Cricetulus griseus: one gene and its partners. The protein of the gene in region 5 purifies or fractionates together with the protein of the main gene of each other region. This does not show direct contact. Links are inferred from orthologs where the notes say so. Each region holds a gene or a part of one and is shown on either strand. Other genes may lie near its edges. The genes, in order: Rfwd3, Rfc1, Zup1, Smarcal1, Rpa3, Top3a and Prpf19.

What was found.
Region 1: the proteins of Rpa3 (region 5) and Rfwd3 purify together in Homo sapiens (affinity purification with mass spectrometry; 5 studies listed by BioGRID and IntAct, with this or other methods). This does not show direct contact. The link is inferred for Cricetulus griseus from reciprocal best matches to the Homo sapiens genes RPA3 and RFWD3.
Region 2: the proteins of Rpa3 (region 5) and Rfc1 purify together in Homo sapiens (affinity purification with mass spectrometry; 3 studies listed by BioGRID and IntAct, with this or other methods). This does not show direct contact. The link is inferred for Cricetulus griseus from reciprocal best matches to the Homo sapiens genes RPA3 and RFC1.
Region 3: the proteins of Rpa3 (region 5) and Zup1 purify together in Homo sapiens (affinity purification with western blotting; 3 studies listed by BioGRID, with this or other methods). This does not show direct contact. The link is inferred for Cricetulus griseus from reciprocal best matches to the Homo sapiens genes RPA3 and ZUP1.
Region 4: the proteins of Rpa3 (region 5) and Smarcal1 purify together in Homo sapiens (affinity purification with mass spectrometry; 3 studies listed by BioGRID and IntAct, with this or other methods). This does not show direct contact. The link is inferred for Cricetulus griseus from reciprocal best matches to the Homo sapiens genes RPA3 and SMARCAL1.
Region 6: the proteins of Rpa3 (region 5) and Top3a purify together in Homo sapiens (affinity purification with mass spectrometry; 3 studies listed by BioGRID and IntAct, with this or other methods). This does not show direct contact. The link is inferred for Cricetulus griseus from reciprocal best matches to the Homo sapiens genes RPA3 and TOP3A.
Region 7: the proteins of Rpa3 (region 5) and Prpf19 purify together in Homo sapiens (affinity purification with western blotting; 3 studies listed by BioGRID, with this or other methods). This does not show direct contact. The link is inferred for Cricetulus griseus from reciprocal best matches to the Homo sapiens genes RPA3 and PRPF19.

The regions. Positions count from the first base shown.
Region 1 is NC_048596.1:187,682,238-187,686,111, forward strand, and holds part of Rfwd3 (E3 ubiquitin-protein ligase RFWD3), read right to left. Parts: intron 3,088-3,874; coding exon 2,876-3,087; intron 1,375-2,875; coding exon 1,231-1,374; 3' UTR 1-1,230. UniProt on the Homo sapiens protein: E3 ubiquitin-protein ligase required for the repair of DNA interstrand cross-links (ICL) in response to DNA damage. Plays a key role in RPA-mediated DNA damage signaling and repair.
Region 2 is NW_023276807.1:132,328,806-132,332,679, forward strand, and holds part of Rfc1 (replication factor C subunit 1), read right to left. Parts: intron 3,415-3,874; coding exon 3,307-3,414; intron 1,144-3,306; coding exon 964-1,143; intron 388-963; coding exon 283-387; intron 1-282. UniProt on the Homo sapiens protein: Subunit of the replication factor C (RFC) complex which acts during elongation of primed DNA templates by DNA polymerases delta and epsilon, and is necessary for ATP-dependent loading of proliferating cell nuclear antigen (PCNA) onto primed DNA.
Region 3 is NC_048595.1:257,243,857-257,247,730, reverse strand, and holds part of Zup1 (zinc finger-containing ubiquitin peptidase 1), read right to left. Parts: intron 3,636-3,874; coding exon 3,525-3,635; intron 1,176-3,524; coding exon 1,054-1,175; intron 1-1,053. UniProt on the Homo sapiens protein: Deubiquitinase with endodeubiquitinase activity that specifically interacts with and cleaves 'Lys-63'-linked long polyubiquitin chains. Shows only weak activity against 'Lys-11' and 'Lys-48'-linked chains.
Region 4 is NC_048595.1:425,980,133-425,984,006, reverse strand, and holds part of Smarcal1 (SWI/SNF-related matrix-associated actin-dependent regulator of chromatin subfamily A-like protein 1), read right to left. Parts: intron 3,569-3,874; coding exon 3,382-3,568; intron 1,798-3,381; coding exon 1,647-1,797; intron 423-1,646; coding exon 264-422; intron 1-263. UniProt on the Homo sapiens protein: ATP-dependent annealing helicase that binds selectively to fork DNA relative to ssDNA or dsDNA and catalyzes the rewinding of the stably unwound DNA. Rewinds single-stranded DNA bubbles that are stably bound by replication protein A (RPA).
Region 5 is NW_023276806.1:216,931,743-216,936,373, reverse strand, and holds the start of Rpa3 (replication protein A 14 kDa subunit), read right to left. Parts: upstream 2,911-4,631; 5' UTR 2,720-2,910; coding exon 2,621-2,719; intron 1,530-2,620; coding exon 1,455-1,529; intron 602-1,454; coding exon 493-601; intron 32-492; coding exon 1-31. UniProt on the Homo sapiens protein: As part of the heterotrimeric replication protein A complex (RPA/RP-A), binds and stabilizes single-stranded DNA intermediates that form during DNA replication or upon DNA stress.
Region 6 is NC_048600.1:74,737,033-74,740,906, forward strand, and holds part of Top3a (DNA topoisomerase 3-alpha), read right to left. Parts: intron 2,938-3,874; coding exon 2,815-2,937; intron 1,867-2,814; coding exon 1,175-1,866; intron 1-1,174. UniProt on the Homo sapiens protein: Releases the supercoiling and torsional tension of DNA introduced during the DNA replication and transcription by transiently cleaving and rejoining one strand of the DNA duplex.
Region 7 is NC_048596.1:49,549,329-49,553,202, forward strand, and holds part of Prpf19 (pre-mRNA-processing factor 19), read right to left. Parts: intron 2,746-3,874; coding exon 2,590-2,745; intron 2,393-2,589; coding exon 2,323-2,392; intron 2,166-2,322; coding exon 2,080-2,165; intron 1,874-2,079; coding exon 1,703-1,873; intron 1,569-1,702; coding exon 1,463-1,568; intron 1-1,462. UniProt on the Homo sapiens protein: Ubiquitin-protein ligase which is a core component of several complexes mainly involved pre-mRNA splicing and DNA repair. Required for pre-mRNA splicing as component of the spliceosome.

The DNA of each region.
Region 1 (3,874 bases), on a different chromosome or scaffold from region 5:
CTTTAGTCCCAGCACTCAGGAGGCAGAGGCAGGTGGATATCTGTGAGTTCGAGACCAGCCTGGTCTACAAGACAGCCTCCAAAGCCACAGAGAAACCCTGCCTCAGAAATACTCCCCTCCACCCAAAAAAAGAAAAAAAAAATTCCTTACTGGTAATAAAGACTTCCAAAATAGCTCAGGAGTTTGATAGGTAGGACAGAACTTTTATTAAAAAGGATAGTGCCTCACCAACAAATATTTGAGACAATAGCCATGTTGTCTACACCTTGGGTGTCCTAGAGGCAGTGCTTTAGTGAAGTAGCCTAAGGCAAAGTAGACAAATGGAACCTGAGCATAACTCTAAATGCTGGACAGCCAGTTCAGGACAACCAGAATGGAAGTTTCTAAGTGTCTTCCTATTAGTCATCCACAGGTCTAACCACTACTACCTTCCTGAGAATAACCACACTACTAACAACACTTTCAGAAAAAATTGGGAGGCAAATCAGAGGAACTCAGAATCAAACATTTCACACGGGAAAAGAAGTCTTTACCTGGGAATTGTACATCTTTAAGCACTGGCTTGGTGGAGAATAAAAACCCCTGAGAATTCTACACTAACTAGAAAAATCTAAGTCTTTTACAATTGCTCAAACAACTGGTCCTTTTCTTTTCTCTCATAATGCAATGACCTTAATGTACACAAGCTGTAGCTATGGCTCTTCATATAGCTAGCTCATCAACCACCTCCAGCACTGGACTTTTCAACATTCTAGTACCCATGTATACCTGGAATGTAACTGTTGTTGCCACAACACATACCACATGGTGTACCAGACACAGGGGGGCAGAAGCCCAGGGGTGTGGGTGAGATCAAGTCACTAAAAGTTATGAGCATTCAAACTTGGAAATAAGTCAAATTCTACCCAAGACAATTCAGGCTGGTTGGGTATCACAGTCCCAAAGTGCTGTGCATACTCATATCCTAAATAATAGTTGTGAGGACTGTAAGATCCTGCAGAATTTAAATAAAGGATTTCCAGGCAAGATTCACAAAGGTACTCTTTTGGTTCAAATAGTATACACAATCTTAGTGTCTCCATGACCTAGAATCACACTAGTCCAAATGAACCCATGATTCAAAAGTTCTAGTTACAACATATAAACAGGTATCTTGTTCAGGACTACTAGGTGCTAAAAACAATACTTAACATTAACCAGTAGCATGTTTGGAAGGTCTCAAGACCATGCTCACTCCCATTTATAAAAATGGACATCCTTCTCAGTTAAGGTGGCCAAATAGTTGCTCTGATTTGCTTCAAATGGGCAGATGTCCAAAACAGGTTGATCAGTCTTCAGGTCCTGCAGCAACAAGCCACTGCCAGCATTCCACAACTTAAAAAAGCAAGCAGAAACAGTGGTCAGTAGTTAGTCAGCCCAGGTGGGGAATAACTGTATAAAACTATCACACCCTAAGTTGGCTTGAAAAGCAAGTTAAGGACTCATTTCTTTCATCTATGTGCCAGAAGTCTTCTAAATATTGTCTCTTCCAGAGACAGAAGAGTCAATGAGATAAGACCACTATCTCTATCCTCATAGAACTTGTATTAAGAAGTGTGTCCATGTGGGGTACTTGTGGAAGAATGTGGCTCTCCTGGAGCCAGCTCACAGCTGGCTGTGAGCCTTCCAATTTAGGTGTTGGGAACCAAACTTGGATCCTGTGGAAGAAGACCCTAACATGCTCCTAACTGCTGAGTAATCTCTCTAGCCATGGAACATACATTCTAGCAAGTGTTTTCTTTTCTAGAATGTTTACTACAAGACACTTGTAAACTATCTAAAACAGGGCCCAGGAAGGTGGCTCATTGAAAGACACTTGCCATGCAAGCCTAACAAGATCCCAGGTAAAGGTGGAAGAAGGAGAACCAAGTCTACAAAGTTGTTCTCTGACCTCTACCTGTTACCATAGCACATATTCACTACCCCAACATCATATACTAAAGTGTTTTGTTTCTTTTTTTGGTTTTTTGAGACAGGGTTTCCCTGTGGCTTTGGAGGCTGTCCTGGAACTAGCTCTTGTAGACCAGGCTGGTGTCGAACTCACAGTGATCCACCTGCCTCTGCCTCCCAAGTGCTGGGATTAAAGGCGTGGTGCGCCACCACCGCCCGGCAACTAAAGTTTTTTTAAAAGTTGAGATATGCTAGGCATGCCTTTAACTCTAGCATTCAGAAGGCAAAGACAAGCAGATCTGAGTTTTAGGCCAGCAAGATCTATATAGTGAGTATACAATAAGACCATCGTTCAAAAAATACATTGAAATAACAAAAATGGTACAATAAATTACCACCAGACTCTTTATCTTAAGATAAGGTCTCACTGTGCAGCCCTGGCTAGCCTGAAATTCATTACGTGGACTTTGACTGGCTTTGAACTCATGGAGTTTCTACCTCTCAAGGCCTAGAATTACAGTATGTGCTGTTCTGCTTGGCTTTTTACATGAATGCTAGGGATCTGAATTCAGGTCTTTATGGCAAGCATTTTACATTTTACCAAATGAGTCAACTTCCCAATAAATGTTCTAAGTAATCGTTAATGTGTTAGCAATTCTGTTTCCTTCCCTTTATTGTGCTATTACTTCATAGTGTTTAACACCTATGTTGTAATCATTATATATCAGAGATAATTTTGTGTGTACATATTTATATGAATGCCCCTACTTGTGCATTTGGAAACCACAGAAGAGTATGGGGGGCAAGATTCTTCCGGTATTGCTTTCTGCCTTATTACCTTTAGACTGATGTGGTGGTTGGGACTGACTTCCTCACATATGCTAGACAACTTCCGAGACCCTCAAACCCCAAACTACTTTTAAATATAAAATAAAAACAGGCTTACCAGAGCAGACTTTGATGCTTCATCCCCAGTACATACTAGGACATTGCCATCATTCTCTGGGCTTTGAAAGATGGCATTTTTGGTCAATAGTTTGCAAGTGGGTCCCCCAAGGAATGTTTGCACAGGAAGGCATGAACAGACTGGTTCTCCAGCATCATCTAGTTTGTAAGACATCTCCAACAGCACAGTTCGTATAGTGTTATGGCTTTTATCTATGAGATAGAGAAATTGGTGTTACCTCATGAAGATGATACAACAGAAATTAAGTACCTGAACCTCAAATACTTAAACCTTGCTGGGTAGAAAAGCTAAATATATTAAGCCCACAAGACCTATAAAGCAAACACAACAACATAGCACCAATGAATTCAGAAGCCTGGGCTAGGATAAAGGAAGTTATCTGCAGTAGATTTTTTCCTACTTCAGAAAGAACTTTAGAAATGCACTGGTTTTGTATAATCAATGTATCTTCTGAGACCTGCTGGGAAATTTATTTTTCAAGTATTCTTATGGCATTTCCCCCTTTTCCATTGAGGATGCCATTAGCTATAACAAGTTACAGCTGAGGTACTTCTGAGAGACAGACAAAAGCTGGGAAACAAAATGGAACCCCCAAACTTGCTTTCTTTTTAATTTATTTATTTTTATTTTATGTGCATTGGTGTTTTGCCTGAATGTATGTCCATGTGAGGGTGCTAGTTCCCCTAGAACTGGAGTTACAGACAGTTGTAAGCCCTTATGCAGGTCCTGGGAAATTGAACCCAGGACCTCTGTAAGAGCAGTCAGTGTTCTTAACCATTCTCTAGCCCCAAGCTTTCTATGCAAGTCATAGCATGATTTTTAAGAGCCAAAAGTCCAGAAGTGGCAATTGAAATAGTTTCCCAGATAAATGTGCAATGATGAGATCCACCCACAAATGGGCACTTTGATGGTCAACTTGACAAACTTGACAACTCTATCCTGGAACCCATTTTTAGGCCCTACTTAAAATCAATGTAC
Region 2 (3,874 bases), on a different chromosome or scaffold from region 5:
ATGTATGTTATGAGATGTATATATATATATGGACAATAAGGATGAGAAGGTAGGTTACACACAACACACTATATGTTACACTCCCTCTCTCCTCCCCTGAAAAGTAAAGAAACACCAAAGACATGCTGAGACAGTCTTCCAGGTCAAAAAGAAAGAAGGTGAATTTACTTGTTTTACACAGGAGTTTGATTTTCTAGCCAAAAGTACTGTCTATTGTGCATCTCTATCAAACAGGAGGCTTCTAATACCAACTTCAATAAACCAGGTTTGTCTTATACACACCTCAGCTTCAGCAGCTATTTCATACTTGGATTTCTTGCCTGGCATAGTTCGAATCAGATCCAACAGACCATCTTCATCAAGGATTTTTGTTCCCAAAGCTGTTGCCTGTTGATTAAAATACAAGTCATCAGAGCTCCATATAAACTACTTGTTGTTGGAGAGGAAATTTTACTTTAAGGCTTACTAGCAGATGAATCACCACACTGTAAATTAACACTAGAATTTATTTTTAATTATTTTTAAGATTTTGCCAGGCAGTGGCAGTGCATGCCTTTAATTCCCAGCACTCAAGAAGCAGAGACAGGAGGATTTCTGTGAGTTCGAGGCCAGCCTGGTCTCCAGAGCGAGTGCCAGGATAGGCTCCAAAGCGACACAGAGAAACCCTGTCTCGAAAAACCAAAACACAAAACAAAACAAAAACCTGTATGTTTCTATGTTAACAATATTTTTAAAACTAGAATACACAAAGAAAATCAAGTAAATAGCAACGATGCTTCCAATTAAACAAACCAAAATCTGTAGTCACAACCAAAAACACACATACGGTATGTGAAGAAGACAAAACTACAGGGTGAAGGCGTTCTTTCTCTTCTTTTTTAACTGTAATGTGGCCAGGAGCATTACCACAAACAGCCACACTGGCAGGCAGGTACTACTGTGAAGAGCGCCAGCAGGACCCACCTTGTCACTCTTGGACTGTCCGCTATCCCGGCCCATAACGAGATAGTTGGTTTTCTTGCTCACATTTCCTGTTACTTTGCCCCCATAACGTTCAATTAGAGACTTGGCTTCTTCCCGTTCAATGGACTCCAGCACGCCTGTGATCACAAATGTCAGTCCTTCCAAGCAATTTTCAGCTCCCTAAAAACCAAAATGTTCAAGCAGAGAAGAAATTACAAGGTAGCTTTCCAAAGAAATATAGCTGAACAAGCTGACTTGACATCATAAATAATGATGAATAAAGACCCCAGCATGAAACCTAGATAGAAATTACAGCAGAACCTCAAAGTAAATCCTGATGAATTCCTACATAGCTAACATTTAACACATACCAAATGAATGAGGAAAAACATACTGTTACCAAAATTAAAATTACCCATTCATGCAATTCTCCACTTTTCATATTTAAATCAGTAATTTGCTTTCATAGCTTCAAGTAAACAATCAAATGTAATCTGCCCACTGACAAGCCCACTGTTGTTAAAGTACAGCTTGGGTTCTGGAAAGCCTATCAAGTTGGAGCGTTTATCATTCTCTGATCATTACCCGACTGAGAGTGAACCTAAGAAACTGCTAGAAGCATAGAACAAAGATAACTGGCCATCTAAGAGCTGACCGGGCTTCTCTTCTTAAGTCTGAACTACAACTCCGTACAGTTATAGATTTTCAAAATTTTTATAACATCAACTAAATTATACAAACAAAATGGTCATTCTACATGATATGCCCTGCTCCTTATTACTCTGTGAATAGCACTGAGATTTTAAAAAAAGTTAAAGAAAACTGGAAGCATATTCCAGCGTAAGCTGATCATTCCTCTGCCACATAAAGAACCTTTCTTAGAACAAAGGAGGAAAGAATAGTTATTATTTACTGAGAAAGAAAGGGGAAAATGGCTAACAGCTTCTCTTCAGTCCTTCCATTTCTAGGAGTGAAATGAACTATTAAATCTTCACAACAGACTCCAAGTCACCCTGGAGAACTCCACATCAAGAAGCTCCTCCTTTCAAACCCCAAACTACTGTCTCCCTAGTGCTCTCCCACTAGAGCTCACAATATCATGTTACTGACCCAAGCTCAGCCTCACCAGCGTCCTTACCATCTCATCCATTAGACTCCTCTACAGCTCTGACTCCAGGAAACTCCTGGCAGCCTCTTCAACATTCCCTCACAGCCTTGCTGTCACAAAAACACAGCAGTCCCGTAGGGACACCATTTGCCCTAAAGTCCTCCAACAGGCACTTACTTGTTCAGTCTCTCAGCGTTACACCCTATACAGGAGGCAAGGCTGATCTCTTCTTCCAGCCCCTTTCCCTTCCCTCTAGCTACCTACCCTTTCTTCTTAGGGGAACTTCTAATCGCCTTATGTAGCAAAGTGAAAATTAAATTTAAATGTCTACCAAATTTATCTCCTAGATTCTCAGAAGCCCCATGGCACAGTTAATTATCCTTCCCTTGGGGAGGGTCTACTCCATCAGCAAGAAACACGTCTTAAGTACACCTCCAACCTTAAAAACATTCACCTCTTCCCTTAAATCCCACTCTTCATTTCTATTTCACAACCAAACTTATCAAAAACACGTCTCCATTTGTCACCTCAGACTCTTGAAGCCACTGCATCAGTTGTCTCTACTGTTCTTGCTGGGGCCATTAAGGACCATCACTCACGTTACTAAATACAATGGACAAGTCTGAGTCTTCTCATTGTTGCAACTTTCACAACATAGCAGATCATACCACTCAATCACCTTTCTTGCCTGCACTTCTCCTATACCACTCACATCAGACTTCTTTCTCACATCTGGGCTGCTACTTGTCAATCCCACTTTGGTTTTCACCCCCATCTTTATATAGAGGCTATGATAAGGCTCTCTTTTCTACAATTCCTAACAGTAGCAACAAAAAGTTTTATGTTGGGGTCACCACAAGAGTAACTGTATTAAAGGGTCACAGCATTAGGAAGGTTGAGAACCACTGATCTAAATGATCCACCCAGGATCATCCATGTTTCTCTACTATACTCTCTAAGAGCACCTAGGACTTTTCTCTCACAGCACGGTACTACAATCACTATCAGATATTAATGCATTTACCATGCTTTTCCTTAAGCTCTGAGTCCATGAAGGCATGGAAAAGCACATCCCTTCTCAGGCTACTTATTATTTAAAGGACACCAGTGAGTCACAATGTAAATAAGAACTTCTAATTCATAAAAAGGTAGCTGAGACCTTTCTGTTAATACTGGCTCTTTGCTGGAACAGGAGGCAGAGTAGCACAGAGTAGCACAATCCTCGTGACTCTTACCTTGGGTATTTCTTTGGAGCCCAGAGCTTTGGGACCTTCACGATTTAAGTAGCTTCGATAAGCTTGATAATTAGTACGCTTCTTTTCAGAATCTTCTGGACTTACAGACTTTGGACACAGGGAAAGAAAAAAAAGTCATGTAAAATTAAGATGTACCTAGAAAGAATTACATTTAATTTAGATGGATGGATGTGGATGGATGGATGGGTAGGTAGACAGACAGATATAAATGGAGATACATGTATGTGTGTGTATGTATGTATGCATGTATTTCTGATTCAGAGATACTGGATGTATCTAGCACGTGTATATTGGGGAGGGTCCCCTAGATAACTTTTAGAACTACTACATTATTTTTCCAATTCCTACTTTATATTGCTTTTAACTTAAATGTAACTCCAAATCTCTTAAAGTAGACAAAATATTCATTTGCATAAATAAGTGATATGATCAATAAGATAGTTAAGCTGGTTTTGAGTTAAACCAACTACTGCAGCTGATCTTAGAATCCAAGCCTTTTGCTGTTGTTGCTGAGACAGGGTCTCACTGTGAAGCCCTGACTGGCCTG
Region 3 (3,874 bases), on a different chromosome or scaffold from region 5:
ATTAAAATTTTTAAAGCATTAAAAACCCTCAGATGCTGCAAGTTTAATCCAATAGATACTTTGTTCACAATAGGAAAATGTGTCCTAAAACATCATGAAACACCAACCTCTGAATGTTCGTTATATAAAAATGTCTGAAATTGTGAGCAGCCATGCTAAACCTGCGTCCTCTAGAATAGTAACCACTGCTCTTAACCTCTGGGCCATCCCTCCAGTCCACAGCCAGGCAGTGGTGATGCACGCCTTTAATCCCAGCACTTGGGAGGCAGAGGCAGGTGGATCTTTTCGAGTTTGAGGCCAGCCTTGTCTAAAAAGCGAATTCCAGGACAGACAGAGCTAAACAGTGAAACCCTGTCTCAAACAACAACAAAAACCCAAAAAATAAAAACAAAAACAAAACTAAGGAGAGATACACAATAATTTTAAGTAAACAGACAGGCAGAGTCTCGGTATAGTTTTACAATCTGCCTGTCATTTGCATATTTTTACATGTATCCTTTTCTACCTAACAGTTGTCTAACCCAGGGCAAATCACAAACACTTTATTTTTGTTCTTCATCTAAACACAGGAAAGAAAGAAAAATGAAAACAAAACCCTGTGTGTTTTCTGTGGAAATTTTTCACATATTTTATCTGAAATGATTATTCCAGTATCTGAATAGACTGCTACATTGTTTTTTGTTTTGCTTTGTTTTTTGATGGGTTCCAGGTTGGCCTCAAACTTAAAAGATTCATTTACCTTCCTCTTTTTCCCTAATGCTGGGATTAAAGGCATGTGCCACATGCACAGTCAAGAATGGCTGTGTGTGTGTGTGTGTGTGTGTGTGTGTGTGTGTGTGTAGCTGAAATTATAAACAGTTCTAAGCGGCCTGAAGTAGGGGCTGGGAAATGAACTCAAGTCATCTATTGGCGAAGCAAGCACTCCTAATAACTAAGCCAGCTCTCTGGCTTTGGAAAATAGCTACTTTTAAGTGTTTTTGCCTCCCCACCCCCAAAAAAGCATATATGGGAAATAAGAACTCTACTCAATAAAACTGTTACTGATCTCTGTACCTGCAACTTCTGGAACTCTTCCCTTTCTTGCCTTGATTCCTCAGATTTCCTCTTCCTGTCTTCTTCTTGCTGAAGCTGCTCAGCTAATTCTCTATCACCAGAGCACTGGACTCTGTCCATGCCTATTAGAGAGAAACAAGCAATATTCACTCAGTACTTAGGCTGCCACAAGCTCTCCTCATTAACTAATTGACTTGTTCTTCCTGACAACTTTATGAAGTATTATCTGCTGAGGAAAAAAAAAAAGAAAGGTTAAGTGGCACTTTTCATTGATGCCTCTGAATACAACTAATGGAGATTCCTTTTTGAAACAAATGAGAAGAAAGTAATAAAGAGTACAAAGTATACCTTCACTATCTCCAACTGTTTCATTATAGTTTTACCCAAAAAGGAGAAATAATTTTACAGTGTAATGACTTGCTTCATGTCTCCCAGTGAAACTCAGATTCTTTTAACAGTGGTATCTGTATGGTATCTTGTTTCTTAGATTCCTTTATTCTTCAGGGTTCTCCAGTAAAAACAGGACCAAGGGCAAGATAGAAACACCACACACAGACACACAGAGCAAGAGCCAGAGCAAGACACACAGAGAGAGACAGAGAGACAAAAACACCACACACAGACACAGACACACAGACACACACAGACACACAGACACACACACACACAGAGCCAGAGTGAGCAGTTTGTGATGGACAGAGATCCAAGTCTGAGGTCAAAGGCTCAAGATTTCTGTTGGGATGCTCACAACAGTCCCAGAGTCCAAAGGCCAAATACTCTGCAGTCTAAAGGCAAAGAGCAACAGTAGAAAACACAAGTCCCAATCCTGAAGGAAGAGCCAAAATGAGTTTGCCCCTTCTTCAACTGTCCTGGTCCATCTAGAATCTTGGCTGAATTGAATGCTACCTGTCCACATTGAATATAGATCTTCTCCATTCAGTTTGCCCATATACACATGATGGGGGGCATCTTATTGGCTGATGAATAAAGCACTGTTGGCTAATAGGAAAGCAAGATAGGTAGGACTAGGAGTCGATGAGGATTTTGGGAAATGTAGTAGAGAGAGAGTCGTCATGTGAGCCCCAGAAGACAGGACACTTGCCACCTGTGTCCTCAATAAGTTTATAAAATATATAGTTTAATAGTTATAGTTGATAATTAAGACTCAGCTAGCAAATAAGAAATCCTAGTCATTGGCCAGCAGCACTGTACCTAACATTAATATCTGTGTGTTACTTGGGGCCCTAACTCGATGGCGGGTGGAACCAGGCGGCTGGTGGAAAGACTTATCGTTACACACATGAGTGTTCCTTGGAAACACACAGAGACACCCCAGAATAGCTAAGGAATCTTCTAGGTATTCCTCAATCCAGAGACATTACAATCCACAAACCTGATGATTTAACTCCAAAACTGAATATTCTCTCTTCCAAGCCTCCTAGTTGTTATACCTTTCTATTTGATTCTCCCTTATGTTCTTGGGTATGTAACTCATAACTGATTTTTAGCATGCCCTGAGACTCTCTGCACTGGTTTACAGAATATATGCACCATCACAAAGCCTACCCACAAAGTAAGAATCAGCAGATATTCAGCTTCTAAAAGGTTACCCTCCCACAGCATTCCCTTACTACCTTCTGCAAAGGAAGATAGAGGTGGTGGCTAGTTTTATGTCAACTTGACACAAGCTACAGTCATTTGGAAAGAGGGACTCTCAATTGAGAAAATGTCTCCATAAAATTGACCTGTACACTGAGCATGGCAGTGCACGCCTTTAATCCCAGCACATGGGAGACAGAGGCAAGGGGCGCTCTGTGAGTTCTAGCCCGATATTACACATAGCCAGAGCTACACAATGAGGCTCTATCATTTCTGCTCTCATAAGTAACTCCTCACTCAAACTCCTATAAGTAGCCCCAATAAAATTCATTGACCAAACTGAACTTAGGTAGTATTAGTACTTTGGTCTGTCACAGGTTTCCTATCTGAGGTAAGCAGACATGTGTGCTGCTTCCCCACCTCCACCCTGCCCCGAAAAGTTTTGTCACACAATAGTTACAAGAGTCACATAAATTCACCTAGTTTTTTAAAGTGGCAGCTTCTTAGTTGGAAAATCTTGCTGGCTAAAGGTTAACTTCATTACTTCAAACCAATGAAAGCATGGCCCCAACTTGTCAAGAGAAACTTTTAAATGGCAAAAAAGCACTTTTTAAAAAAGCACTGTCTTAAATGGTGTATTCTCTACATGTCAAGCCAAACCCACGATGTCTAACCTTGGTTTGGATGCTGTCTCCACAGTTCATCCTTTACAATTTCTCAGTAAGACTTCAAGGAAAGCGGTGCAGCTACCCGGGGATTATTTAAAGAACAGATTCACTTCTAAACAGGGTGACTTTTTCATCGTATCCCTAACCTAAAAGACATGTGTGTTCTAGAAGTAGAAATGAAAACACTTTTAGACATAAACATACCTTGCTGAAAGCTGCTTTCATCTAAATGCAAGTCCACGTGTTCCTGGAGAATATGGTAATTTGTACAGATGAGCCCACACATGGGACAGTCATAGAGTGGTTGATGACAGTCTGTATTAGAGATGTAGAAAGGCTTTTTTTATTTGTAGAACTTTTAAACTTTTCACCCCATGCCAAGGACTGTGTACACTTTATGAGTAGAGTGTTTTTGTAGTTAGCATTAAACCATGTCACCAGGCATAGTGGTGAACAATTTTAACCATGGCACTCAGGAGGCAGAGGCAATCAGATTTCTGTAAGTTAAAGTCAGCCTGATCCACACATCAATTTCCAGGCCTGCCAAGGCTATA
Region 4 (3,874 bases), on a different chromosome or scaffold from region 5:
CTCCCAATGCAGGAAGGATGGACTAGAAACCCTCTAATAGACTTGTTCCACTTGTTTAAAGGGATCCTCCTGGCACACAAGTCAGGCGTAAGAGCTGCTTCAGGAGAGGAATAGATCATTCCCTACAAAAGAAAGGCAGTGATTTCTCTTGCCCCCTCCCCCAAAACCAGAGAGGATCAATAAGGGCAAATTACCAAATTTGAGGAACCCTTCAGAGTTCCTCTAAAGAGACAAAGTACTCAGGACCCTGCCAAGTCACTTACAATAATGACGACTTTGAAAGGGGTTTTTAGCTGCCTTTCCAACTTGCTAAGAAGATCAAAGCTAACAATGTTGACCAAGCCAGCTGTTAGGCGGCCCTTCCCCGTCACCACCACGTTGATGTTCTCTGGGCTCAGAGATGGCAGCCACCGAAGAAAGGCCTGCAGGTGACAGGGGACAGCAAAACAAAGTGACGACCCAGAAAACAACACTCTCAATGGGGACCAAGTTTACCATTCCCTGAAGACATACTCCTCTCTCCATACCCTCCTGCATCTGGCAAACCCTGGTTCTCTCTATCTGCCTCTAGTCCACTCCTCCCCTCACTATGTGCTGACAGGACTCTCTCCTGTGAGCAGGCACCTCATGTGCCTACAGTTTCTTCTCTGTGAAATCTAGATGGTCCCAGTTCCTTAGAATGATTCTAAGACTTTTATGAAGGACCTGCAAGAGCCTCCTGTACACTAAAGGCAAACTGACAGTCCATCACTAGATAAATCAGGCACCCTGGGGCTGTAGGAAGGCCACTGGGTGTCTCCAGCCAGAGCATGTAGGTGCCCCTGGCCTTGCCTGGGCCTGCTATTTCCTGACATGAGTTCTCCAGTCTTAGTTCTGCTTATAAGCAGCTCCCTGACTCTTTCTGGACTTTCTGAGGGAAATCTAACACACACAGATACATAATGCCAAGTTTCTACAGGCAATGGCAGGATCTATACCTCACCAGCGGCAGGCTGAGAGGCAGCCTCTGCAGTCTGACTCTGGTGCCTCAGGGAGAGGTCAATCTATGATGCTCCACATCAGCAGCACAAAGCCATAAAGCTCGGGAAATAAGCTCGGCCTTCCTTCACTGCATTTGCTTAAATTTTTTAAAAAAATTAATTATTCAATGTTTACATCAGGCCTCCATCTATTAGGTCGTCTGGGGAGCATAAACATAGTATGTACTATACCCTATAGCAAGCAAAACACTGAGCAGGGAAGTCAGTAAGATGCCTCCTTAGGGGGGAACACAGCTCTTGACCTCCTTGAGACCTAGTTTGTTTATCTGTAAAGTGGGTCACTGAGTGCTGTGTCACAGGACTTGGAGAGACAAAGGAAGTAAAGACATTCCAGAGATCGGGTGCAGTGCAGAAGGACAGTCTTATTTACCAGAGGAACAGTATCTGCTGAGGGACTGGCAGTAGGTCCCTAAGCTAGTGACTGCTTGGCTTTCCTCCCTTTGGGGATAACATGACTCCCCATTCTCAGGGACCAACTCATCTTTCTGCTGGTCTTTGACCCACATCTGGACCTTTAAAGATCCCAGGCCTTGCTCTTCACTGTAATTTGGATGTTCTAGCCCTAAGGAAGCCCTTCCCAATGATTCCAGTGCAGAGACATCTAACCTGCTCCCAGGTGAAGCGCACAGAGGAAGGCACGACCACCAGGAGTGGCCACTCCTTTCTGTAAAAGGCTGCTATACAGATGGCCTGGATGGTCTTCCCCAGGCCCATGTCATCAGCAAGTAGTAGGCGGCCTCTTTTGGATATGGCAAAGCTGCAAGGAGACAGACAGGGTAAGGTAATATCACAGTGCACGGGGCCATTCTGTCCATCTTAATTAACCTGCCACCACAGAGCTGCAACACTGACAAAAATGGGCCCCGCTCTCAGCAAGATTCTCTTTCCAAAAAGGACAGGGCAGGAGTCATTTAGGAAACAGGATAAGAAAAGAGGGAACAGACAGTGAAGATGCAGAATGGTTCGGACCCTGGAGGAGGATGTAGAAGACAACAGGCCACAGGGTTAAGAGCGAAGCCACAGTGAGAAAACTCTGCCTAAACCAAGCACAGGATCACAGGGGACCATGAGAGGCCGTGATGCAACACCCACATCCAGGGGTTTGATCTCCCTTGAGAAACGTGCCCAGGAAGGACAGAAAGAGAAGTAAGAGTAAGTGGAGTTAGAAATGCAGCACTCTGAGCATCAAGGCTCACTCTGTATGCTCAGGAGCAGGGTGAAACCAGCAGTGACTAAAACTACTGGCAAAAAGGACGGACAGGGAGAGGATGAGAACTTGGCTTTAGCAAAGGGTTTTCTCGCAGACTAGCAGCTTCCAGGTACCTGCAACAGGCCTCAGCTGGAATCTCAACTCTATCACTCAGCAGCTGAGCCTCCTGATGCACCTCCTGATGCAACAGTGAGATCCGAGTAAGGAGTCCCTGACCACTCTTGGGAGAAACAGTAAAAGAGCACTTAGGATTGGTGCTTGACACCTTCCTAAACACCGAAGAACAGTTTCTGCTATAGCCACCATCCCACATGAGGGAGGAAGCAATGAGAGCAGGAACAGTGAAATGACTTGCTGGTGTTGCAGATGAATCACTGAGAAACTACAAAGAGTCTGTGCATCAGACATCTGGTCCCCTGCTCCAAACTCCAGTCCTCTTTCATCTAATTTGTGAAAAACTGATTGCTGGCTCAGAAACCCAGTGATGAGCTGGTAGATAGCTCTTTTCTTTCCTTCTTACACAATAAAAACAAAGAGAGTAATCTCTTCTCATTGGCGTGTGGGCACTACAAGACTTTTTCAGCTGCCCCTGGCCTTTTGGTAAATTTCCCAGGATGCAACAACTGAGCAGCTCTCTGGGGACCAGAGGCCAGCACACATGGGCCAGTGGGTACCATGTCAGGGTACTTCCTTGTCCTCTAGCAGCCCCAAGAATCAGCCTCCCTTTCTGCAGCACAGAAACAGTACTTAATCTGTGCTGCCAAACTATGGAACACCAGCCACAAGCCCCTGAAAAGAGCACCTGGCTGAGCCTGGTGCAAGCTAAGAAGAAAGCCGAACTAAAGCAGAGATTTCTGGGGAGAAATCTCTTTCCTTCAGCTGATGAGAACTGGGTTGCTGAACACCTGCAATCCAAAGTCCTGGTTAACTCATGGAATTGGAAACCAATGGTAACAATAAGCTTTGCTAACAGCACACCTGGCTGTTTAATGCTTAATGTTTAATCTAGATGCTTCCAGACAGGTACGCAATGAATACATGTAAGTATTCATAAAAGAAGCATTTGAACCCCACCTGTGCTAAATGATGGAATTCAAGCAAGAGAGAGCAAGAGGAGGACCAGTTATCTACCTAACGCCCTCTCTCTGAAAGGGCATGAGATTAGACACGAGCTTGGCATCCACTCCAGAAAGGTCAACTTCAGGCACGTCGGCTTTGGCATTGAGAGATGTCTTCTCCAGCTGAGATGCAAATGCCAGGGTCACTGTCTTGGGCAGAGGGTCTAGCTGAACTTGTCGGAGATCACGTGACTTTGCAACTGGAAAGAGAAAACGGAGGTGTGTGAACCAGAATGCACATGTCCAAAAGACCTGCAAAAAGACAAATGGCGTTAGCACACAGAATTCAGCAAAAGGTATTCTGCTACATGCCATTTTCTTAAGAGGGCTAACTGCAGAATATGCCACTACCTCAGCACCGGACCAAATTAACAGCCAGCATTCCCTCTCTCTAGTCCTTAATACCTATAGATAAGGGGGTATTCAGTAACACAAAAGTGACTTGGCTGACTATACAATTCTAGAAAGAACTGTCTGATGTTTATCGTTTTTTTTCAACCTAAAGT
Region 5 (4,631 bases):
ATCTTCACAGCTTCATTGTAAAGTTCAAGATCTGAAAGAAACATTTAAGCAAATATTTAATCTATAGCGGAATTTGCAGCATCTACTGTTACCTCAAGTTTCTACCTATTTCTTTCCTTTTCAGAAGTCTACTTCTTTTCAAAATCCATGTTTATTTATCTCTGGTGCCCCCAAAGAAAGGAGAGATGATAACCTATTTTGTTGTCTGTTACATAGTCATTTTCTGCTGGATCATAATTTCAGTGTTACTGCACTGTTCAAACTTTGAATTCATATATTAATGAATATTAATTTCATCATATTTTAAGCCATTTTATCTATAAATAGCATTTACTAAGTTTCCTTCACCTATAAGAGATGATTAAAAGAAGGTCTCTTCATTCTATAGAAATTGAAAATATGCCAGGACTGAGATTTAAGACCAATGCATAGTAAAAAAAAGTTTTTCTCCTATTTACATGGCACTACTATGTAGTATAATGTTTTACTTACCAAAGCGAACACAATCTTCCTTAAACTGGACATAAGATGCACACATTATGGTTGCTTTCGCTGTGACTTTTCCAACTACTTCCACAACTCCAGAGATTTCTTCATCAAGCTAAAATGTTGACCGAAATGTCAGTTACCTATATTGACCTTTTCAATTGATAATATGCTTGGAAAGCTGTTTCATAGTTTCTTGTTTTTCATATTGTTTCACAGCTTACTAATTTTTCATTGTTAAAAAGAAGTTTCAAATTTTACCAACATAAAAAAACAGAAGTATAGTTTGTTAAAAAATGGTGGTATCTATACCTGACAGGATGGTAAAAGTTTTGTTATCTTTAGAAGAGGCTCAAGGTCCAAAGATACTTATATTTAAGTTGACGGCAGAGTTATTTAAAGACACTGAGGATTTCAGAGTTCCTGATATATACACAGGGATTTATTTGAAAATTCACTGAGAACTGTGTATAAATCTTACAATGTGTGTTCTATATAGAGTAACCAAACACTGTATGGATTTGTCTTCATAAAAGACCACAAAAATGTTTCTGAGCACATTAAACAGAAAATAAAAATATATGTAACTGAAGATTAAAAATAGAAAATCAAGATGGTTGGCAGTACCAGTAGCAGTCTGAAGCAGGCGAAGCACCTGGGGCCACCACTTCAAGGCCAGGCTTGTGAATATGGAAGAAGTAGTTGGAAAAGATTTTCATATGTACATTTTGGGTATCTTTTTAAGTAATAAAAATTATTATCCAACCAATCTTAAGGGACATTATCAGAAACTTGGAGCTCTAATAATTAGTATGGATTAGAAATGGAAATAAAATATGAGGGCATAGGTTTGATTTTAAAGATGAGGAGGCTTAACTAGTACAGCCTTCACACTACCATCCACCAAATCAGAAATAATAAAAAAACCAAACAAAAAAATTAAATATGAGACATCACTTAAAACATACTGGCTCCATCAATTCAATTGTTCCATTTTTTCCTTCTCCATCTGAAAGAATAAACATTTTTCCAGTGGGATGAATCTAAAAAAGAAAACAAAAACCCACATAGATTTAGAAAATAGAATCTACAGAAATGAAATGGTTAAAAACTTCATTGACATTTTACTTGAACATAAGACAACTGGTTTTTGGACAGTTTATTTGGTTCAAGTTGTAATCTTGTTACCAGATCTGATCACTGGAAGCCCAGCTAATTTTGAATTTCTAGTAAACAATGAGTACTTGCTTAGTGTTATGTATGGCTTCTTGTTTTATTTGCAAAATCTGGCAACTGTATACTAAAACTAAATTAAGGAAGTTTTTCACTTACCTAACAGTGGGGATTCTGCTGACATTCATGATTTAGATAGTACATCTCACAGAAGGTATGCTTTTAAAATTAGGAATGAAGAACTAAAAGAACTGGCTGCCAGATCTGAGGACTTCTCTTGGGATCTGAATTGAGCTTTGCCACTTGTGACCCTGAGCATTTCAGTTAATTACCAACACTCTGGCTCAGTCAGCCTACCTGTGAAGTTAGAATAACATTCCTTTCACTTTGGGAATGTGTGAATGAAATGAGCTAGTAAATAAGTTCTTACAAATGATTTTCCTTTCCTCGGCTCTCTCAGTCACAGATTCTCAGACTGTGGGCTTATTTCTTAGCTATAGGATGAGGGCTGTATGTAGTCTTAAGTCTGGGCTACATACTGGGGATCAACAGGATATGGGAGGGGCTATCAATGTCTCACAGAAAAGCTACTGCAACGCGAAAAAAAAGGCCCAAAACACAGAAAGTTACAAAAGACCAGGAAAGAAATAGATTCATCAGCCAAGCATGGCTAAACCAAAAACTCCACAGTAGGCAGTGGAGCCAGGCTGATCATCTTTCAAGTAAATACAGAACGGGGGCGGGGAGCGCTGGAACTACAAGTTAGCTCATTCGAAAACACTTTGCGACACACAAGAAGCGGCATCACGCCGGAGCTGCAGCGGCAACTCTTGCTGGTGAAAACTAAAGCAAGCTGGAGAGCAATGCTGCTTAAGGCTACCTGCTTTCACCCTCCGCTCCCCACTGCGCAGCCACTCCTGGGTGGCCACGGTGCCCCGCTCTGTCGCCCGAGCCTGCGCACCTTTTCCAGCTTCCCCACGAAGCACACGGGCCGGTCGATGTACTGCGCTAGCATGCTGGCGTTGATGCGCGCTTTGGGGAGCTCCATTATGTCCACCATGATGGTGCCGCCGACACTCGGAAGCAGCGGGAAAGCAGAGCCAGCAAGGACTCCGAGCTGGCCTCCGCGCCAACACGCGCAGATTTCCCGATCGCCAATCCTAGGAGACCCGCGCTCCAGCTCCACCAATCAAATCCGCAGGGTCGTCCAGTTGCATTGCATGGGGACGGGGGAGGAGCACGAGTCCTCCGGAAGTACGGACCCACTGCCTAGTGACTCCCGGCGTTCCGGAAGTTGCTCGGGCTGAAAAGAGTGGGCGGAGGAGGCGGGGCCTGGAGGGGCGGGGCTGAGGCCACGGACCGGGATCTGAGGTGGCCGAACGGGGACTTGACCCCGGAAGTAGGCTGAAGTCCCGGCACGGCGGGTGGCGGGCGGCGGACGGCGAGCGGCGGAGTCTCAGGTAGCGCTTTCCTGCGGGAGGTGTCTCGATCCTCGTGCGTCTCTCCCCCGGAGGACTGAACTCCAGGGGCCGGGGCCGGGGCCGGGGGCGGAGTCAGGCGCCAGGCCCGGAACACCGTGGCTCAGGCGGTGACAGTTACCCGCTTCTGCGTGGGAAGCGCGGGAGCGTGCCGAGCCTGGGGTCTGGGCTTCTATTTTTGCTCTAGTTGTACCTGAAGGGGACCATCATCATCAGTCTTCATCTCCTCCGCAGGAGGCTGTTGCTAGGAGACTGAGATCATTTTATGTAGCACGCTGTGTCCCGTAGGTGCCCGGTTTCCCCACCAGCAGGAAGAGGTGCTGACCCTTCCTTCTTTACAGCTAGGACCGTTTCTGGCTTTGGCGGTCCGGAGGTGTCCGTCTCCTCACCTAACTGCTTTTGGGTTCCCCACTGGGCAGGATCAGAGGAGAACTGTTTCACCAGCTGTTGAATCCCAGCGAGTGCGCCTCCACTGGTGCCACATTGATCTATCTGCCAAACGAGGGGTTGACTGATGTGCTAGGTCCTGACTGTCAGTGTTCAGGCATCTGCACTGGCCTGGCCTTGGGGTCTGACAGGATGCGCCCTCAGCTGCAGCCACCGTCTGTGCACATTCACCATGTTTCCCTAAGGGTTCTGCCCACCTCCCATCCTCACTCCCTCTCTCTTTCTCTCGTTTCTATCTCTGTCTCTCTCTCCCTCCTTCTCTCCCCCACTTCCCTCCCTCCTGGTGCTCCTGTCTTCCCCCTCCCCTTTCCCCTTTTTATGACCCCTTTCCCTAATGCCGCCCCCCTCCGCTCTTGAACCCTGTAGCATGGCATCTTTCTCTGGCTTTTCTTACATTACAACACCGGCTGATTGTAATTTGGGGTTGTAATCTAGCTCCCTGGAGTTCTTTGAGGCATAGAACTGACTGAAAGACAATTTATTCCAAGATTTGGGGGAACTTCTCGGATGTTCCCCTGGTTCATAGTATGACTGGAAGCTGGTGGCTATTGATTATAGTGATGTCACCAGCCGGGGATTGGGACCAGAAATTTCAGAACGAGTGCACATGAAAATACCTTCAAAAGAGGTTGCAGAAATTAGAACCTAACTTTAGTTGGGTTTCATAATTATGTGGCAATAGTGTCTGGATTTTCCTAAAGCCACATTCTTATTGTTAGTCTTTAAACCAAGGGTCCTAATTGGAGCTAGAGTGTAGTCCTGCTGTTGTTTAAGATCTGCAAAGATCTGCTTTGAGATTTTTATATGGCAATTTAAGATAGAAATTTGATGTACCCTGTTTAAATGACTGTTCACTTTCCTTAATATTTATAGTTAATGTTTGCCTTAATTCTGATGTTACTAAAACAAGTTCATAGAATTTCATTAGTCCTGGGATGTATTTCGTCCAGGCCTGGCAAGTTAGTATTGCAGCATTCAGGGTCCACCCCAACCTTTTCTATGCTACTGTGTAGCACCCTTTAGCTCAGTGAAAACTAGCCAGCAGGA
Region 6 (3,874 bases), on a different chromosome or scaffold from region 5:
CAAGCACACAGTAGCAGATGGGGGGTCTGTGGTCAGCAGCCAGGCCCCCACTTTACCTTCCCTTCGTGGAACCCTCAGCACCTTGCCCCCAAGGAACCTTCTAGACTATAAATGGGCTGCAGTGCTGGCTGTCCTGACACTGAAGACATCTAGTCATCTGGCTTGGAGACATATGTCACTTCTGGTGGCCCTAGAAAGTCTCAGGTGTATACAAGGCTAAGGGCTCTGCAGTTATTTCAGATACGGGCACAGAAAAGGATAGCCTGAGGGGCCTGAAGTCCTAAGCTCTTCACCAGGTCTTCTGGGTGCTTCTTGCATCTGGTGGCCCACATGTGAAGTCAGCCTTGGTGGCACATGCCTGCTATTCTGGTACTCAGGAGGCTAAGGCAGGTTTGTAAGATTGAGGCCAGCCTGAGCTACATATATAACCTGCCTCAAAATGTGCACCCCAGCCACAAATAAATGACTAAAAATGAAAGATCATAGTCCGAGACTAACTTGGCTCCTTTAGGAAACAGGAGTTTTATGGAAATCAGTGATGTCATCTTATTGCTGAGGAGACCAAGGGTGAGAGGCTCAGCCAGCTACGTGAAGGTATACAACTGGGATTGGAAAGACCTGCGAAACTGCAAAGTTGCTGCTCAGCCTTGGGTTTACTGCTGTGCATTGCAGTGGCAGGAACCCATCTGATTCAATGTCTGGGTGCCAGTCCTTAGAACATTCATTCCTGAGACTCGGGGCTGTGTAGATAGGTTTCTACACACCACCAGTCAGTGTGCCTCAGGTAAAATGAGGCTGATAAAAATGACCTAGCGAGGGTGACAGTCTACAGGGGAGGAAGACACTTATTACTACTTTGGGACCTGTCATTGTGACACTAAATAAAGCCCTTCGCTGGCCTGCACCTGACCTCACTTGGAAAAGTAATCGAACCCAGATGAAGGAAACTTGCTATAGAAAGTACAGATCATGGCACTGGGCACAGTTGCTACTCTCTAATGTGAACCCAAGACCCTATCTATGATTCATGCCTTGCTGAACAATGAGAAAACAGAGGCAAAGCTATGGCCCTGCTGATCTCCCATACACTCATCTGCCTTCCCTTCTTCTCTGGTCTCTGCAATGATAGCCACTGTGAGAACCTATGTAGGGACCTGTGGTCCTGCTTCCTCACCTGGAGCCATGTTCTCATCTACCCACTGAAAGAAGCCACACTGTTGCTCTCGTGGCTTGGCACAGATGTGGAACTGGCGTCCTTTGTTGGGCCCATCTTTCTGCACAGTCCGTGTGACAGCAGGCTGCCCACACAGGCAGGATGTACTTCCATCACCATCACCACCAAGGCTGCCAAACCCATCCACGTTGCTGCCTAAAGCTGACGTGTACCCCATGGAGCTGCCTGGGGGTCTTGATGCAGAGGTGGGGGGCCCTCCTCCTCCTGTGGGATGGCTGCTGTCAGCCCACAGAAAGAAGTTGCAACCACCACCATTGCACTTATAGAAGTGCCGGCCCTGGTTGGGGCCCTGCTTGCGGACAGTAAGCAGCACAGCCTCCTGGCCACAATTGCAGATCACAGAGTTACTTTCACCAGCAGGAGTGGGTGGTGGGAAGGTTTCAGCCATTGCCTTTGAAGATCCAGTATGTCTGTTGACCAGAGGTTGAGAGAGGCTATGCTGACTGCTGTCCATCCTGTTGAGGGCCTGGCTGGCCTGCAGGTAGCCAGAGGGCTGGGTAGCTCTTGGGGGACCTTGTGAAAATCGCAGGCCCAAGATTTCCTTTAAAGTTTCATCACATCCACCTATGCAGCCAACAAACTCCAGGGGCATGGTTGGGGGAAGGCTCCCACGCTTAAACTTCAACTTCAACCTAGTGAGGTCAAGATGAGAAAATATGTTAGTCTTTGCCCTGGTGCACAGCGGTCGCCAGTCACAGCTCCCTGCAGCCCCCAGGAAACCCATTCAGAGCACAGAGCAGCAAGCATACAGACGAACTCTCAGACTCTCAGAAAGTCCTACTTCTCTACACCACTGGCCCCCTCAGGGATCTGGGGCTATTTCAAGGTAAAGAAGTCAAGACAATAAGAATGCATCTAGTCAGCTGGGCGTTGGTGGCTCACGCCTTTAATCCCAGCACTCAGGAGGCAGAGGTAGGCAGATCTCTGTGAGACCAGCCTGGTCTACAAGATCTAGTTCCAGGACAGCCTCCAAAGTCACAGAGAAACCCTGTCTTGAAAAAACCAAAAAAAAAAAAAAAAAAAAAAAAAGAATGCTAGTCTACTTTTATGTTTCCATGTGTGCAAATAGAGTTTTTCAGAAATGATGAAACATGTAATAGCTCAGTGGAGTACAGGGACAGAGGTGGAACAAATTCAGTCTTGCCTAAATGAAAACCAGTATTATTATCTTCAGTAGTGCTGTATATCTGCTTTAGAAAGTATTTTATCCTATAAATCATTTTTAAAATGTTACACAAAACTAGACCAGTCAGCTGCTAGTGCTGATGCTAAGACTGTGAGCTGAGAACAGAATTCCCGAATGGTTCTCAACCTTTCCAATGCTTCGACCCTTTAATACAGCTCTTCATGTTGTAGTGACCCTCAACCATAAAATTATTTTTGGTGCTACTTCATATCTGTAATTTTGCTACTGTTATGAATTGTAATGTAAATATTTTAAATATTTTTGGAGACAGAGGTTTGTCAAAGGGATTGGGACCCATAGGTGGAGAACTACTATCCTTGACATTCCTGCCTGGGTTCCAGTGAGAGGACAGGAAAGAGTTCTACAGTGCATGCTCCAAAGACACCCAGCTCACCTGTACACAGGGGGTGGCTGACAAATGGAACACACAGTGCTGTCCCTGCTGGCCTCCAGCACCGAATCAGGAAACCACACAGCTGCCCGACATTCTGGGAACCCTGTGCAGCTAAGGTAGAACCTGGAGAGCAGAGTGGACAGGTCAAATCCAGGAATTCAGAAGGCACACTGCTGACATCCATCTTCCAGGAAGAGCCTTCTTCATTGTCTTAGTTTTCTGAGACAGGATCTTACTGTATAGTCCTGGCTGGCCCTGGAACTTGCTATATAGACCAAGTTAGCCTGATCATGGAGATACACCCATCTCTGCCTCCTGAGTGTTGGGGTGTGCTCCATCATATCCTACCCTAAAAAAACCCTTCTTGCCTGCTTCTCATGCCCCTAAAAAAACGCAGCTATAGTTGGGCAGTTGTGGCGCAAGCCTTTAATCCTAGCACTCGGGAGGCAGGGACAGGAGGATCTCTGTGAGTTCAAGGCCAGCCTGGTCTACTGAATGAGTTCTAGGACAGGCTCCAAAGGTACAGAGAAAGCCTATCTTAAAAAACAAAACAAACAAAAAAAATGCAGCTAAAGTCAGGCAGTGGTGGCACACAACTTTAATTCCAGCACTCAGGAGGCAGAGGCAGGTCAATCTCTGTGATTTAGAAGCTACTGGTAGTTTGAAAGAAAATGGCCCTCAAAGGGAGTCACACTATTAGGAGATGTGGCCTTGTTGGAGGAAGTGTATCACTGTGGAGGCGGCCGTTGAGGTCTCTTTTGCTCAAGCTTCCCTCAGTGTGACTGTCAGTCCACTTCCTGTTGCCTACAAGATGTAGGACTCTCAACTACTCCTCCAGCACCACATCTGCCTGCATGCCGTCATGCTCCCCAACGTGATGATAATGAACCGAATCTCTGAAACTGTAAGTGAGCCCCCTCAATTAAATGTTGCATTTATAAGGGTTGCCATGGTCATATTGTCTCTTCACAGCAATAGAAAACCCTAACTAAGACACTGGTCTACAGAACAAATTCCAGGGCAGCCAAGGTCACAAAAAGAAACCCTGTGGGGGCAGAGG
Region 7 (3,874 bases), on a different chromosome or scaffold from region 5:
TGGAAAACTCAGTGTTCATTCAGTATGTATGTTTACCTTTAGCTCTTTGCTTGGACCTGGAATGGTCCATTAGCCAGTTCTAGCTCAAACATGTCAAAGTCCAGGGCACACAATACAGGACTGGATCCAGAATAGAAAAAGCTGAGCTATCTTCCTCACAGGACTCAGATGGAGAACCAGGGCAGGTTCTTTCCAGAGTTAAGAAAACACCCGGATCTCACCAACTCTCCAGAGAAAAGCCCTCTTGTGCTCCCAGCTGGCCTAAACTCAAGGTGATTCTCTAGTTTAGCTATCAAAAATTGAGATTACAGGTGTGAGCTATCACACCCAGCAAGATCCCCTAAAGTTGAGGCTATAGCAGCTACTCAAGGCCATAGGTGACTCTAAGGTGAGAAACCCTCTTGTGCACCACTGTCAGCCTGACTTCCCTTTATTACTTCTAGTTATCCTTGTGTTGTAGTTATACTTGTGTTGGGGCTTGAATACTTGCTACTGTGGGAAAGGCCCCAGACTCCATCTCCACACAAAGGAAAACTGCCTAACTTGACTTTAAACTTCATCACTCACACATGATAGACCCCAATAAAGTTGACAAAAGATAAAAAAAACATGGGCTGGAGAGATGGCTCAGAGGTTAAGAGCACTGACTGCTCTTCCAGAGGTCCTGAGTTCAATTCCCAGCAACCACATGGTGGCTCACAACCATCCATTATGAGATCTGGTGCCCTCTTCTGGTGTGTAGATATACATGGAAGCAGAATGTTGTATGCATAATAAATAAATAAAATCTTAAAAAAAAAAAAAGATAAAAAACATGCCAGGTGTGGTGGTGCACATCTACTGTCCCAGCACTTGGTAGACAAAGACAGGAAGACCTCTGTGAGTACAAGGTTAGCCTGGTCTACAAAGTAAGTTCCAGGACAGCCAGGGTTTGTTATACAGAGAAATCCTGTCTCAAAAAACCAAAACAAACAAACAAAAAAACCTTCATTACTTCCCAGACTGGTTCTTTTTCATTGCTCAAATCAAGAGCCAATACCAAATAATATACCACAAGACACTGCTAACCTATGAGTTGCATGCACTTTCATGTAAACCCCTATATTTCCTACTGAGTGTTTGAAATTATCATTTCAATTTTCCTAAGGCACCAGAGAGATTACAAATTACAGAATTTGCTCCTCAACACACAACTTGGGAGAGGCCAGGTAGTAACACAACTCACAGCCAAACAGACTCACAAATGCTTTTCCTAGGCTACAATGCTCTACTGCCCCCAGACATAAGTAAAAGCAGCCTGGGGGTTGGGCTCAGTAGTAGGAAACTTGGTCAGGTTCCACTCCCAGGACAGCAAAAGTAGGAATAGTTTGGGCCTATCTAGGCCAAGCCCAGAGCTTCACCACCAAGTGAAGCTTCCTAGAGCAGATGTACAAGGCCCCGGAAAGCCACAGCCAGCCTCTACCTGTAAAGTGAAGAATCTCTGTCCACTGTTTGCAGATATAGATCTGGACATCTGTACCCCCAAGAGCCAGGTAGGTACCACTCTGGTCAAAGATCAGTGACTTCACCTGCCAAACCCCAAAGAAAGGCAATTACACAAATGTCAAGCCACAGAACAACTGGGACAAAGAGAAGCAGTTCACATGAACTCAGAAACCATCAGGGAGTGAGGACAAACAACTAAGACTGGGGAGGAGCGCACCTCAAAGTTGTTATCCAGCTGCAATGTCTTAAAGTTCTTCAGCTTGCGTAAGTCCCAGAGCTTGACTGAAGAGTCATCGGCTGCTGTGGCCAGGTAGTACCCATTCTCAGAGAAGGCGATACTGGTAATGGGGCCAGAATGGCCAGGGAAATTGGCCACATTGGTACGCTCCTACAGGTGGTGGTTGGACAAAAAATTATCACTTACGGGTTAAGATAGGAAGGGGCTTACCAAACTTCATGTCCTGTGCACCCACAGTTCCTTGGTGACATTACCATGCCACACAAACAAAGCCAGGCTTTCCTAAGCCTTGAGAAATCCTGGGGCCTGCTGACACACCTCATCAGTTCCTTCTCTAAGAGGCCTGCATGTCCTACCTTCAAGTCCCAGATCTTGATCTGGGAGTCCATGGTTCCTGTTCCAAAGATGAGCCCATCAGGATGGAACTGTGCACAGGTAAGAGCTGAGGAAAGGGGACAGGGATCTGTAGTCAGTAGTCACCGTGGCCTCTACACTGGTGCAGTGGTAAACACTGTCTTTAGAACAAATAAGCAAATGACTAAGTAAAACTTAAAGACAAACTGCAAACAAAAGAGTTCAGTGCCTCTAAGGACACTTACAGCAGCCGGAAGTCTCATCTGTCACCTTGGTGAGCACGCGCCCTGTCTGGATGTCAGAGAAGGCCCAGTACTGGAGGTGAGACAAAGAAGCCAATGAGTAAGCAGGTCTGGTAGCTGAGACCCTGATTCAGCACCTACTGGCAAAGATAGCTCCCACAACAGGGAAAAAACCTTTCCAGAACTCTGGGAATCTGGCTGCCCCAGCAAGATGGCCCTTCCTCCCAGGGTGAGTAGGCAGCCTCCTCAGGGCCCTAGCTGGGACTGTACCTGATCATCAGAGGAACTCAGGAGATAGTCTCCAGTAGCATGGAGGCTGAGGCCTGTCACTGCACTCTCATGGGCTCGAACAACCTGTACACAGGAGGTGTTTGGGACCGACCAAATCCTGATAGTCGCATCTGGGGATGCAGAAAACACCAGTTCCTGAAAGGAAAGCAACCAAGAATCAGATCCTAGGAAGTGAAATGTACTATAACACCCTTTTCCACAGTGAAAAGGACAGCCATAACTACCAGCAACTGCTTCTCCTTCTAGTCCCTCTCTGCCTGTAACCACCTATCTAAACAACAGTGCCTAAGAAAGCCAAGAAAAATAAATGCTGCTGAAATGGCCACACTGAGCCAAGTTGAGACCCTCACTACTTAGTAGTAAACAGGGCAACTGCAGCTGAGAGCTATTTTTGCCCCCTTTTAAAGCTGGGTGGAACTGAGGGACTGGAATCATGTGCACCTGCAGCTAAAGACTACTGGACTAGATGGCACAGATCCGAGCAGACTGAGCCTGTAAAGGAATATAAGGTCATGTTCCCATGTTCCTCACACTTAGACCCAAGGGCATGTTGATTGTCCAAAAGACCTGGGGCAGACAGAGAGCTTATTTAGTTTCCCAAATAAATTATTTCCACTAGTTAGGACAGTAACAGCCAGAATATAACAGCAACTATCCTTTCATTAACACATACTCATAAAAGCCAAAAGTAATACTAACAACGAATAAACAGGAAAAAAAGTACTTCAATTTGAATTAGTTTTTCAGTTTGCTATAGCTGTGATGGTTTGAATGAGAATGGCTCATATATGTGGCTGCTTAATCACCAGGGAACGGCACTATTTGAAAGGATTAATAGTGTGGCTTTGTTGGAGAAGTATCTCATTGGGAATAGGTTGGTTTTGAGATTTCAAAAGCCCATGTCAAACAGTGTGTGTGTGTGTGTGTGTGTGTGTGTGTGTGTGTGTGTGTGTCTGTCTGTCTGTCTGTCTGTCTGTCTGTCTCAGCTACTGGCCCAGTGTCAGGCTTGCCACCATGCTCCCTGCCATGATGATAATGGACTAACCTCTGAAACTGTAAGAAGCAATCCCCCAATTAAATGCTTTCTTTTATTAAGAGTTGCTGTGATCATGGTGTCTCTTCATAGCAAAAGAGCACTAAGACACAAATAGTCCTCTATTTCTCAGTTCCTTAAGTCTAAGAGAAAGACTTAACTGGGAGGCACTGTTTCAGCACCCCATGCAGCTGCATACCAAGCCACAGTACTCAACTCTTATGAGACCAT